3 linked regions of the Cricetulus griseus genome follow. The protein of the gene in region 3 interacts with the protein of the main gene of each other region in a pairwise test. Links are inferred from orthologs where the notes say so. Each region holds a gene or a part of one and is shown on either strand. Other genes may lie near its edges.

Evidence for each region.
Region 1: the proteins of C-type lectin domain family 7 member A (region 3) and Bnip3 interact in binary tests that used the Homo sapiens proteins (3 or more experiments, as listed by UniProt). The two-hybrid records come from large-scale screens. The link is inferred for Cricetulus griseus from reciprocal best matches to the Homo sapiens genes CLEC7A and BNIP3.
Region 2: the proteins of C-type lectin domain family 7 member A (region 3) and Bnip3l interact in binary tests that used the Homo sapiens proteins (3 or more experiments, as listed by UniProt). The two-hybrid records come from large-scale screens. The link is inferred for Cricetulus griseus from reciprocal best matches to the Homo sapiens genes CLEC7A and BNIP3L.

Annotation. Positions count from the first base shown.
Region 1 is NC_048596.1:62,069,220-62,073,487, reverse strand, and holds the start of Bnip3 (BCL2/adenovirus E1B 19 kDa protein-interacting protein 3), read right to left. Parts: upstream 2,801-4,268; 5' UTR 2,674-2,800; coding exon 2,643-2,673; intron 1-2,642. UniProt on the Homo sapiens protein: Apoptosis-inducing protein that can overcome BCL2 suppression. May play a role in repartitioning calcium between the two major intracellular calcium stores in association with BCL2.
Region 2 is NW_023276807.1:221,983,189-221,987,383, forward strand, and holds the start of Bnip3l (BCL2/adenovirus E1B 19 kDa protein-interacting protein 3-like), read right to left. Parts: upstream 2,801-4,195; 5' UTR 2,705-2,800; coding exon 2,608-2,704; intron 2,277-2,607; exon of another isoform or gene 2,253-2,276; intron 1-2,252.
Region 3 is NC_048601.1:16,596,448-16,600,403, reverse strand, and holds the start of C-type lectin domain family 7 member A, read right to left. Parts: upstream 2,801-3,956; coding exon 2,707-2,800; intron 998-2,706; coding exon 899-997; intron 1-898.

The sequences.
Region 1 (4,268 bases), on a different chromosome or scaffold from region 3:
CCTACCAACAAGGCTTCCACAGCTCTCAGCCTCAGAAGTAAACAAGAAGCTGAGCAGAACAGGCAGGCAGAGGAGCTCAGACTCCAAGCTGGGATTCACATTTCATAGGGCAGCTGAGATATCCCATGTGACTCAAGTGACCCCTCCTACCCTGGGCTAGACGGTGAGCCAGTGCCGGGCTGCACGTACACCCCAAACAATGGCCCAAATCCTTAGCGTGAGTTTCCACACAGTAACCATCTTTTTATAGAATAAGCAAAGCAGAAAAACAAAAAGCATCTTAACCCTTGAAATGACAAATGACAACCACACTTTACCAATGACTCAGCAGTCTAAAGTGTATGTTAAGGGATTAGGTGGTAATTGAGACCTCTCAGGGGTACCCAGAAACTTCCAGAGATGAAATCTAAGTAGCAGTGATAGATATAAAATCTCAGTAACTACAAAAGTGACTTTACAGCAAACATTATAAAACATTCCTTGATCTCATTTTAAGAGAAAAGACAATAAAGCTTCTCAGTCTGTCAAAGGAGAAACTGCAACTGTTTGACATTAAGGAGTAAAACCTGAATTACAAGATTTTTTTTTCTAATGTGGCTGTAGTTTTAAATACAGATTCTGTAATGTATTAGACTGGCCTACTAAAATTCTGCCTACTAAAATCTTGTTTAGAGTAATAAATAAATGCAGCTCACTGAATCTTTTTTTTTTTTTTTTTTTTTTTTTTTTTGGTTTTTCCAAACAGGGTTTCTCTGTATTGCTTTGGAAGTTGTCCTGGAACTCGCTCTGTAGAGCAGGGCTGGCTCGAACTCACAGAGATTCACCTGACTCTGCCTCCCGAGTGCTGGGATTAAAAGTGTGCACCACCAAGGCCCAGCTCAAATCACTAAATTTTAATACAAGCTTTTTAAAAATTCTTAACACAGCCTAGCAGCGTTGTATGATATTGATTCCAGCACTCCAGGATACAAAGGCAGGTAATCTCTGTGAGTTCCAGGACAGCTATCTATACAAGTTCTAGGAAAGCCAGAGCTACACAGAAAAACCATATTTCAAAAATCCAAAAACAAACCAAATCTTCCCACTAAACTGGGTGCACCTTTAATCCCAGCACTCAGGAGGCAGAGGTAGGCAAACAGTGAGACCCTCTCTCAGAAAAGAAGTTTGTAAAGCACTAACTTTAAAGGTTCAGATGGCCCTCTCATGTTTATTTACATGCTCATTTTACTGAGTGAACTCTTGCTTCAGAGAATACAAAGGTCAACAGGATCCTCCTCCAGTTCTTGGGCCTTTAGGATTAAGGCTGAGCTCTTAACTCGATCCCTAGGGGGCTCTCAGAAATGTATGATGACACAAACAATTCAGGATGGCCTTGCAAAACTACAGCTGTCTGCTCAATGCTAATAGTCTGTAAAGTCTGTATGCTAGGGGAGCCTTTTTGTTTGTGAGACAGCGTCTGGATACACACCCCCTAACTAGCCCAGTACTGCTGTGTAGTTCAGGCTAACCTTGAATTCGTCAAGATTCAGCTTCTACCCTCTCCTGTGATGGGATTTTAGATGTGTTACCACACCCAACGTAGCTTCCATTTTCTTAACCTACAAACCGCTTACAGTGAGATTACTGGGCTGAATCATAAACACTTTACCATTTTGTGCTGTTTGTAGCTCTCATCCACACGAGAAGCACCCCCAGCCCTTCTCTGTGTAGCCCTGGCTATCCTGCAACTCACTCTGTAAACCAAGTTGGCCCTGAACTCAGAGTCCTTCTGCCGATACTTCCTGAGTTCTGGGATTAAAGGGCCACCACTGCCCTTTAAGATAACACTTCTTAAAGATAAGAGGCCGAGCGCTGTTGGCGAACGCCCTTAGCACTCGGGAGGCAGAGGCAGGCGGATCTCTGAGTTTCAGGCCTGTCTGGTCTACAAAGCAAGTGCCAGAATAGGCTCCAAAGCTACAGTAAACCCTGTCTCGAAAACAAAACAAAAACAGATAACAATCTTTTAACTCTGAGTAAGAGATGACTGTGGTCTGAAGCCTTAGATCCTCCTCTTCCACTAAGAAGAGATGACAAAGCAAGCCAGGGGTTGAGGGGGGCGGGGTGTTAATTCCAGCTACTCCAGAGGCTGAGGCAGGATGATCCCAAGTTCAAAGCCAGTATGTCTTAAATTATAAAATGAAAATTAGTAGTGGTGTTGTTCAGAGGTTGAGCTCTTGACCTCGCACGTTCAAACCTGGTTCCATAGCCAGTACCAAGTGGGAAAAGTGAGAGGCACTATGGTCATAAATACTAATGACTTCAATCAAAACACTGAATATTCAACCTGCAGCCTCTGGCTCACTTAAACAACGTTGAACCAGGCGTAGGGGATGCGGAAGGCCTGTAAGCTACTCAGGAAGCTGAGGAAGAAGGATCTCGGGGAGTTCGAGGCTTGCCTGACCTAACGAGACTGTGAAGACACGGAACTATGACAGTGTGACAACAGACCGCGGAAGATCCAGCCCGGCCTGGCTGTAAAGAGACGGTCTGTAAGATGCACCGGGGCTCACCGCCCAACCCCGGCTGCCCCTCGCAGCATCGCGGCCTCCACGCACGACACCCCTGCCACCCCGCGACCCCCTCCTCTCAGCCCACAGCCTTACCCTGCAGGTTCTCCTCCCCGCTCTGCGACATGGTAGCTCGGCAGAAGAGCCCGAGCCCAGCTGCAGCAGGCCTCAGCGGCGGTCACCCGGGAGGGATATACGAGCGCCGCCGCCGCCGCCGCCCGCTCAGCTCTGCGGCCAGCCGACGCGGGGCTGAGGGACAAGGGGCGGGGCGGGGCAGGACGCACGCGGCGGCGGCGGCGCCCATTGGCTGGGAGGCGGGGCCTACAGGTGGAGGAGGAACGCGGGGCGCGTGCGGCACGTGCGGCGCGTGCGCGGGGTGGAGCCTGGTTGGGGCGGAGGCGGGGCCCAAGGCAGCAGGCTCTGGGGGGCGGCGGTTTCTGAGCCCGTGAGCCAAGGAGCTGGGGGCGGGGCCTGAGGCTAGAGCCGCTGGGACCGGGACCTGCACGGATACAGGAGAGGCTTGGGGTGGGCTCGACGCGGGAGCATTGGGGCTCCGAGGTGCGAGCAACACTGAGGCGCTAGGGGAGGGGCCTAAAGCCAGGCTGAGGTGGGCATGGCATGGGCGGGCCCTGAGGTAGGCGTGACGTGGAGGACCTGACGCCGGGCTCTGCTCTGGCTAGCTAGCATGGGTTGGGGACCTCCTCCTGCCCCGCGGTTGACCCACTCTACCCCCAGCTTCCGAACCTGCGGGCGCCAGCGACGCGAGCATGCGGTGGTCTCGCTGTCTCTGTGAACACTTAGGATTTTTGGCTGAATTTTTAAGAAAAACACAATGCTGGAGTGGTTGTGCATGCCTGTAGCCCAAGTCCTGGTTCAAGGCCAGGCTGGGCTGCACAGTGTGAGACTTTCTAAAACAAGGCAAAGCAAAACAAGCAAAATTCGCCAGCATTCTGCTGCAGCAACAATGGTTAGGTGGGGGATGCCATGGCAGGCTGCAAGGGAAGATCAGTGTATTTTGGAACAATTTGGAACAAAGGAGAGGCCTTTGGAGGGACAGTGTTGAGAAGGATTCTGCATTGTCCTTGTACCCTACCCAGTCACTCCTCTGTTCTTGGAGAGTGGAATTCCTCTGGATACAGTTCTGGAATAGAGAAGGGGGGGTGTGAACCTTAAAAGAGGCTTTCTTTGCCGTAGTGAGTCAGATCACAAGAAGCAACTTCATTTGGTGTTTGTTTCTTTCCTTTCCAGACAGGATGTCATAAAGGAGTCTGGCCTTGAAATGTCTGTGTATCAAAAACTAGCCTTGAATTCCTGATCCTACTGCTTCCACCTCCCAAGTTCTTGGATTACAGTATGCAGCTCTGACTTCTGTTCTGTTCTGTCGGGAGTGCTGAGATTATTATATTCAAGGCCTTGCACACAAGTCCACTGCCACTGATCTATGTTTGATTTTTTTTTTTTTTTTGGACAGATTCCTTGTGTAACCTAGGCTAGTCTTGAACTTTGCATCTTCCTGCCCCATCCTCCCAGGTCTTGGTTATAGACAGCTCCACCATTCTCAACCAAAAATTCTCTTTCTTACAGTGCCTAGGGCCTTGCACGTACTGAGCACATTCTCACACACTGCTGAGCTACAGCACCAACCCTATGTCTCAACCTCGGAATTGCTGGGGTCACAGGCACACTACCACACCAGGCAAGAAAAAAACAAGAGCCATGTTT
Region 2 (4,195 bases), on a different chromosome or scaffold from region 3:
GGGTATCTGCACTCAAGTGAGAGATACATAGGTATATAATTTAAAATAATCTTTAAGAAATTTAAAAAAAAAAAAGCTGGGCGTGGGTGGCACACGCCTTTAATGGGAGGCAGAGGCAAGCAGATCTCTGTGAGTTCAAGGCCAACCTGGTCTCTAGATCGAGTGCCAGGATAGGCTCCAAAGCTACAAAGAGAAACCCTATCTCCAAAAAAAAAAAAAAAAAGAAAAAGAAAAGAAAAAAAGAAATTTCAAAAAATTGCTATTAAAACTCTGCTGTGGAGCTGGAGAGATGGCTCAACAGTTAAGAGCAGTGTCTGCTCTTCCAGAGGATCTCAACCACATCTAACTTCAGTTCCAGAGGAATTGATGCCCTTTCCCCGCCCTGGTAGGCACCAGCAAGAACACGGTGAGTATAAATGCATGCAGGCACACCCATACAAAACCTCCTCTGCCATGATTCTTGAACTAAAGATAAAAATCTCAAGCCAGAGATAATCTGCATTCATTTCAGCTTCTGTTTTCCACAGCTGTGGAACTGCAGCCAGCAAAGTACTTGGACTTATCAGGAATTCAGATAGTATTAAATTCCTGAATAAACTGTTTTGCTCAGCACCTTAAAAAAAAAAATCACTTGGAGGAATCAATACTGCTTGTTTTGTTCAACTCGGGGCTGTATGATGAGCTTTACAAAGCAAACAAAGAGGCAAGGCCAGTAGTTAAACCTGGCATCATCTAACAGCTTTTCGTTGACTTTTAAAAGGGCAGCCTAGCCCAAGTCCAAGGCTTTCTATCTAGCTGACTTTCCAAACTAACATCTGGTATCACATGTAGGCTGGGGGTTCGTTTGCTCCTGTAAGAGCCACTAAAAATGAAGCAGAAGCTGACTGGCCTATGACAAACACATCAAAGCTCTGTCAGACTTTGGGATAAACAATCACATAGAGCTCAACCCTTTTTGGTTCTGTTGTTAATAAAGCCTTAAGGAAAGTAAAAATCCCTTTGTATTCTGTGAAACCACATACCCACACTGACCAAACACTTAAGTATTAAGAAGACACCGAGCACAACTGACTCAGAAGGGACCAGGCAGAAGGCACACATGTAAATAAGCACGCACACCCCAAGACAAGACTCCTGAAAGCACCGTGGGAACTCAAATCACAAGCACCACTTCTAGGAAGAACACAACAGGTATCTCTTTTGTCTCATCATTTCTAAAAATGTATGCTAAGGACAGATAGAAAATTTTAAATTTAATATTACGTGATAGGAGTAACATTTAAGGACACACTGACTAAATCTTTTTAAAAACCAGCATTTAGAGATGTGTCTTATCAAAAGATGGGGCAGGGGCAGAGCATCTTCAAATACCTGAATTCTTTTTATTTACTGATTTTTTGGTTTTGTTTTGAAACAGTCTTACTCTGGGGCCCAGGCTGGCCTCTACTCCACACTGCTGGAATGACAGGTATGCGCCACCACAATGAGGTAAAATACCCAAATGGTCTTCTCATCCTGTAGGCTCAGCAACAGCTCTTCGTCAAACTATCTGGCCACGCCTGAAGCACCCCCTCTTATGAAAGACACCGCCTGACCTTTAAACATCCAAATGGCTTTTAAAGAACTTTGCCTTGCCATATGCCAACTACCCCCACTGCCTCTTTCATAAGACACGAAGTACAGAAAGGTTGGGCAAGAAGGTCGGTTGATCTCACAACAACAGGGGACACTCTGAGGACAAGACGTCTGTTAGAAGTGCACTCCATTTGATTGCAACTCCATCCTGACCATCAACTTTCAAGTGCCAGTGCTTGTGTCCTAGGTCTGTTGTGTTGTTCACTGTATTTCCCAAAGTCCACTGCCCAGATTGATGATGGGTGTGATCTGAGGGGACCGGCTGGCCACTCAATCCATGTCACACAAGAAACAGCACTTGAAAAGCCCTGAGCACGGTGGCCTATGACTGTCATCCCAGAACTTGGGAGGTTGAAGGCAGGAGGGTCAGTTCATCATCAGCTACACAGCGAGTTCGAGGCCAGCCTTGGCTACATGAGACTGTCTCAAAAAAGAAAAGGTACTAAAATAAAATAATTCCAGGTTAACAACAACGATTAAAAAAAACTCACTTAAGGAACTTGGGAAATTCTCAGGAAAAAAAAAAAAAAGGTAAATGACAGGGGCGGTACAAGCACCCTGCACAAAACTCCGCTGACCCCTGGACTGGCATGTGGTATAGGGCGAGCCCCGCACACCTGCGCTGCCGCACGTCCACCCGCCACGCCCGGCGGGCCGCGTCCATCTCCCGGCGTCCCCGCCGCACGTTCCCGGCCCCGCTCCGCCCGTCAGCCCCAGCCGCCCCCAGCTGCGCGCGCCGCCCGCTTCCGACGCCCGCCGCGACCCTAAGCCTCGGCGCCGGGAGCGCAGGCCGCGAGCCAGCGCCGAGCGCCTGCTCCTGACGGGAACGCGCCGCTGTCAGTCACACGCGCAGCCTCGGTCCCGACCAATGGGCTGCCGTCTGCTCCCGCCCCCCCGCGCGGCGGCGGCGGCGGCGGCCGAACGGCTCCTCCTCCCCCATCCCTCCGCCGAGCCCGGCGGCCCCGCGCTCACTGTTGAGGCCGGCGGGCGGCGGCAGGGGCTGCTCCCCTTCCTCGCAGTTGTTGTTGTTGTTGTGCAGGGGTGGCGGCGGCTCAACTAAGTGAGACATGGTCGGGAGACTGGGAGCGGCGCGGCCGCAGCACGACAGTATCCGGCTCTCGGGCAGCAACACAACAAGTCGAGTCCCCCCGCCCCCTTTTCTGCGTCTGCGCAGTCCCTCCCCGCGTGACATCAGGACCCTCCCAGACCACGTGATGACAACACTGGTGGCAGGGGGCGGGGTCTGAGCGGGGAGGGGGCGTGTCCGGGACGGCCTGGGGCGGGGCATTAGAGGGCTGTTCGGGACGTGCGGGTGCCTGAGTAGTGCTGACGCGGCGGGCGGCGGGCGGGCGCTGGGAACGAATTCCTGAGAGTCAGTCGCACTAGCCACAAGGGTTGAGCTAGGCAGTTGGCCTTGTGTCTGGTCCAGGGAGGAGAGTGCAGCCCGGAAGCGCCGGGCGTGAATGGAGTCCCTCCCACGCCTGCAGCGGACACGTAAGAACTCAACCTTGGCTTTAAAGAAGCAGAAAACCCCAGTTCCTTCCCTTGGTGAAACATCCGTCCGTGCCTCCCACAGGACACCGTGTGAGGTACCTTGGAGCTAATCACCCGCCTGGAATTTCTGAAATTTTAATTGCAAAGGTAACATGCAATCCTAGTGAAGAATCTATAATGGCTGGGCGTGGCGCACACCTGTCAAGCCAGCCCTCGCGCAAGCTGAGGCAGGAGGATAGCGAGTTCCCTGCAGCCTAGGCTACAGCGCAAGCCCTTTTGCCTTCAAACACAAAGTAAAAAGCAACAACAACAAAAACCAGATCTACCCAAACCCTGACGCTTACCAATCTCTGGAAATGATCTAACTCTTGTATGCTCCTGACTGTTCCTAAATACTCCTACATCCTATCTTTGCCAAATTTCCCTGACCTGGTTTTTTGTATAGGAAGTTTTCTCAATACGGTACTTGTCTTTTAACTTTGTTTCTGTTTGCAAAGTTGAAAATTTTCATGTAATTGTGAAACAAAACCAAACAAACTATGATCTGGGAATATCCACACTTCTAGGACCAGCCAGTGAGCTAGCTCAGCTTGCTGTGCAAACCTAATGACAGAGTTGGTTTCTCAGAACTCAGGTTAGATGAAAAGCTAACTCCACAAAGTTGTCCTCTGACCTCCACATATGAACCGTGGCCTGTGCCCTCCCCTATAAACCATACACACGTACACAATAATCTAAGATTTTTTTTTTTTTTTGGTTTTTTGAGACAGGGTTTCTCTGTGGCTTTGGAGGCTGTCCTGGAACTAGCTTTTGTAGACCAGGCTGGTCTCGAACTCACAGAGATCCACCTGCCACTGCCTCCCGAGTGCTGGGATTAAATGCGTGTGCCACCAACGCCCAGGTCTAAGATTTATTTTTAATTACACATGTTTGCCTTTAGAGGCCAGAGGTAACAGATCGCGCTAGTGCTGAACTTTCTAGAAGTTGTGAGCCACCCAACCTGGGTGCTGAAAATCAAACTCCGGTCCTCTACAAGACCAGCACATGCTATATACTGCTCAACCAT
Region 3 (3,956 bases):
CCCCATATTTTATGAAAGCTAATAGGGAATATCTATGATTAATGGTAAATCAATGCTACGTTGCTGATGAAAAAGACAGAGTCTGATGGTTGATACATGGATGATTGATCAGATGTGTGGAAAGGAATAACTTTTGTGAAGAAGGAAGCAAGAAGAAAATGACACAGACTTAGCTGAAATCATAAAAATTTGAAATAATAATAATTCAAGGACAATAATATCCTTTCTGCTTTCTCCTATTATTTAAAAAGGGCAGCTCTTTGAGGATTGCCCAGCTTGTAATAAATGGAGTGTGTTTGTACACACATTAATAAGCATTTGACTAATTATGAGCAATGAAGACTCTTTGAAAAGATCATATAATTGTATTGACACAGGATTCATGAGATATAGAAACCTAAAGAGATCTATTCGTCAATCACAAAATATCTGCTTAGTATGTTTTAAGTGCCTCAGGCAATACTTGGAAGAGTCAAGATTTTTTCTTAGTAAAGATCATCTGTGAGATAATTTCCATGTGTCCAAAGGTTCATAAAATTACACACAACTCCTTTAATATAGCTATGCCCTAGGAAAGATAACAGCATATTTTGTTTCCTTCTCCAGCTCTGTAAGTTCCCCTCCACTAACTTACCTTACAAATTCCTCTTTTAAAAAAGTAAGATATTCATGTAGAATAGTAGAGCAATATAGCTAAGAATATATGTTTTATTAAGCAGATTGTCTACATTTCTACTCATGATCCCACCGCTAACTAATTTATAGCAATGGAATAGTCAATCTTCCAATCTCTCCATTCTCCTATAAGTGAAATGGAAATTAATATCATGAACTCAATGGGATTGATGCACAGATTAATTCTCTGTGACTGTCATTAATCTCCCTCATCCATACTCACCTAGGACTCCCAGGACTACAGCAACCACTAGTGCGACCAAACACAGGATTCCCAAGGCCACCGCAATGGGACGCCAAGGGAGAGATGAAGACCGGCTTCCTGAAAGCCAGAGAGATGAGAAAGAAAATAAGAAAAGTCTGTGGAAGCCTTTAGTTGCCCAGCATACTGAAGTGGGGACAGTTCTAAAGGGGTCATCAGCCACTAGAGTCAGTGTCCTGAGAGTCTAGTCTTGTAGTACGAGTCTCCATTGTCCCCAGCTTCAGCATGGCTCTTCTTCAATTGCTTCAGCTGTGTTATCACCCTTTCCCATCCTGCGTATTTTGTGCTATTTCCATTTTAAGATCTGTCTCCTGCTAATGGGACATTTTCTTCTAGCATATGCTTTCCATCACTGATATACCAACAACTAGTTTTTAAAAATTCAAATGAGTCTCTTCCCACAAAAGTATATCATATTTGGGACTTAAAACCCTGTGACTCCTGGCTATGCCTTGCCATCTGCATACCCCTCAATTGCAGGTTCACATGCTAGTCTATAGGTCTGGGTGTTATTCATTCCCTGAAATCCTACTTGTTCATAGGGTGAGCAGTTTTCTGTAGGAGAAACAGAACTAGTTATTAAGGGTAGGTTTCCTTTTTTATTTATTTGGTGCATCATTTGGACAAACTACTTTCTCCACCCCCTTCTTTTTATTTATTTATTTTTTAAGTTTCCATTTTTGATACTGGATCAGTAACACCGTAAAATACTGTTGTTGGAAGTAAGTGATCTAAAAATGCATAGAAACACCCTTTCCAGCAACTGGGAGCACTTTGTACTTTACACAGCACAAGCAAAAGCCTTGCCCCTTCCCTCACTCAGTTTTCTACCATCTTACAAGCTAATTGCACAAGGAAGGGGTTGTGTAAGTGGTTATAAGAAGAAAATAATTGCATAATGTGAATGCCAAAAAAGCAGAAGAAAGCAAATTGTAATGTCAGAACCCATGAGTCATCTTTTCCTTAATGATAGCGCTGAACTGATTTTGTATTAAGCTTACCACACCAACACCAGAAGCCCAAGTCACAGAGATGACCAATAGGAGATCCAGAAAGAGAGTAAAGCACCTACCCTGTGAGGAGAGAGATCCTTTAACATTCTGTATATCTTGCACTGTTTCCATTTTAAGAATCTCCTATGTCCTGCCAATTAGACATTTTATTCTAGCATATGTTTTCCATCCCTGGTATACCAGCAACAAGTTTTGAAAATTTCAAATTAGTCTCTTCCCACAAAAGTATATCAGATTTGGGATTTAAAACTCTGTGACTCCTGGCTACTCTTTGGGTTTCACCAAAGATGTATTCATTTTTATTTTCCATGGAATCCTCTACGATTTCATACCCTGTCCCTTTGGCACTATATATAGTAAGATTGTACAGGTTCATTTACACTATTTTGAGTTTCTTGGCCCCCTCACAAGCAGCAAGTAACTCATTAAAATTCCTTCATCTTCGCCTATCACTCATGTTACCAACCCCACTTCCCACTGATGAAGCATCTGTGACTCCAGAGTGGAGCAGTCCTGGTTATCGCCACAAATCAAAAACAATCTGTGGAAGTCATTGGGTAGTTTCCAAAAAGAGGTTTTGTGAACATCCAAGGAATCTGTGATGACTCTTCCAATATATATATCTATATACATGTATGTACATATACATATATATATTTCACTAGAAAGTCCTACAAATCAAGAGTCTGCCCAGGTCTCTACTATTGTTGATAAGGATGAAGGTTCTATAAGCAGAGAGAAAATGAAAATGAATACCTTTCTCTGACTCCACAGGTCTTTTTAGGATGCCTCGAGTCCTGAAGTCTAATTGAGTATACCCATCTTCATCCAGAGTCTCTTGATATTCCATTGTTTTGTAGGGCCTTGGGTAGGCAGAGCACTTGAATGTTCTTTCCAAGTAAGATAACTGTCGTTTTGAGGCTCTCTAAACAGAACCCTGAAACAGCTCTTTGCTGAGGTTTATGGAACTCAGTATAAGTAGTCTAGCCAGTGCCCAAAGCAGGAAATGAAAATCACGTTGGAGTAATTTCCCATTTTTTTTCCCTCTAGATCCTTTTTTTGAGGCTGTAAATTCTGAAGAAATCTGAAACGTCGTAGTGCATGGCTGTTGTTTGAAATCAATGCTACGACTTCAGTTACACTCTGAACCAAGTTGGCATGATTAATTGATGTGGGTTGGCATGATTAGTAGATGTGTCCTGTGTAAACAGTTAAGCAGTTTTGGTACCTTGAGCTCACCATTGGTCTGTTCGTATTCTGCTTGCATGCACACATCTGTGCATGTGTGCATTCTGTAAACACACATTAACTACTTCACAGCTGGAGGAACTGGATGCTTGCGGAAAGGTGATCCACAAAGAAACTCATTGCCTGATGGAGGAAACCACAGGCAAGTATCAAAAGCATATTATCCCAGCAACAGAAAGCAGGTGAATCTCGCTGAGGCTTATCATGAAGTAAAAATATATGGGAGCAAATATTTATTGGTAATTATGGTGCCTTAGTACAGCATAGCACATAGGCTTTTTCATTTAATCTCAGATCTCTAAGGGTTCTATAAGCGTGTTTTAGTTCTACAATTTTCAAACAAGGAGAAAAAGACATGGATACTCAGACAATAAGAACTTTAAAACCAGAACAAGAGATTGGAACAAAGTCTCCTCTGTCTTTTAGACATGGAATTGCTTTCTGCTGCACTGGCTTTGTTCTTGTGGGCTCTTAGAATGCAAATGATAGTTTAGGACAATCTAAGACAGAAACAGAAGGCTAAATGTCTGGAATTTTTTCTCTTTCTCTCTTTCAATTCACAGGTTAACACAAAGTGACCAAATTAGTACAAAATTGTTTGATTTCCATAATTTTATTACTGCTAGAGGTCAACAAGGAGGACATCAAAGTAATGAGGAGAGATTTAATTTAAGGATTACTATTGCAATGGAAAAGAAAGTCCAATAAGAGCTGAAGTCAGAGTCCACATAACAACAATTGGAAGGCTTTCTGAGGCT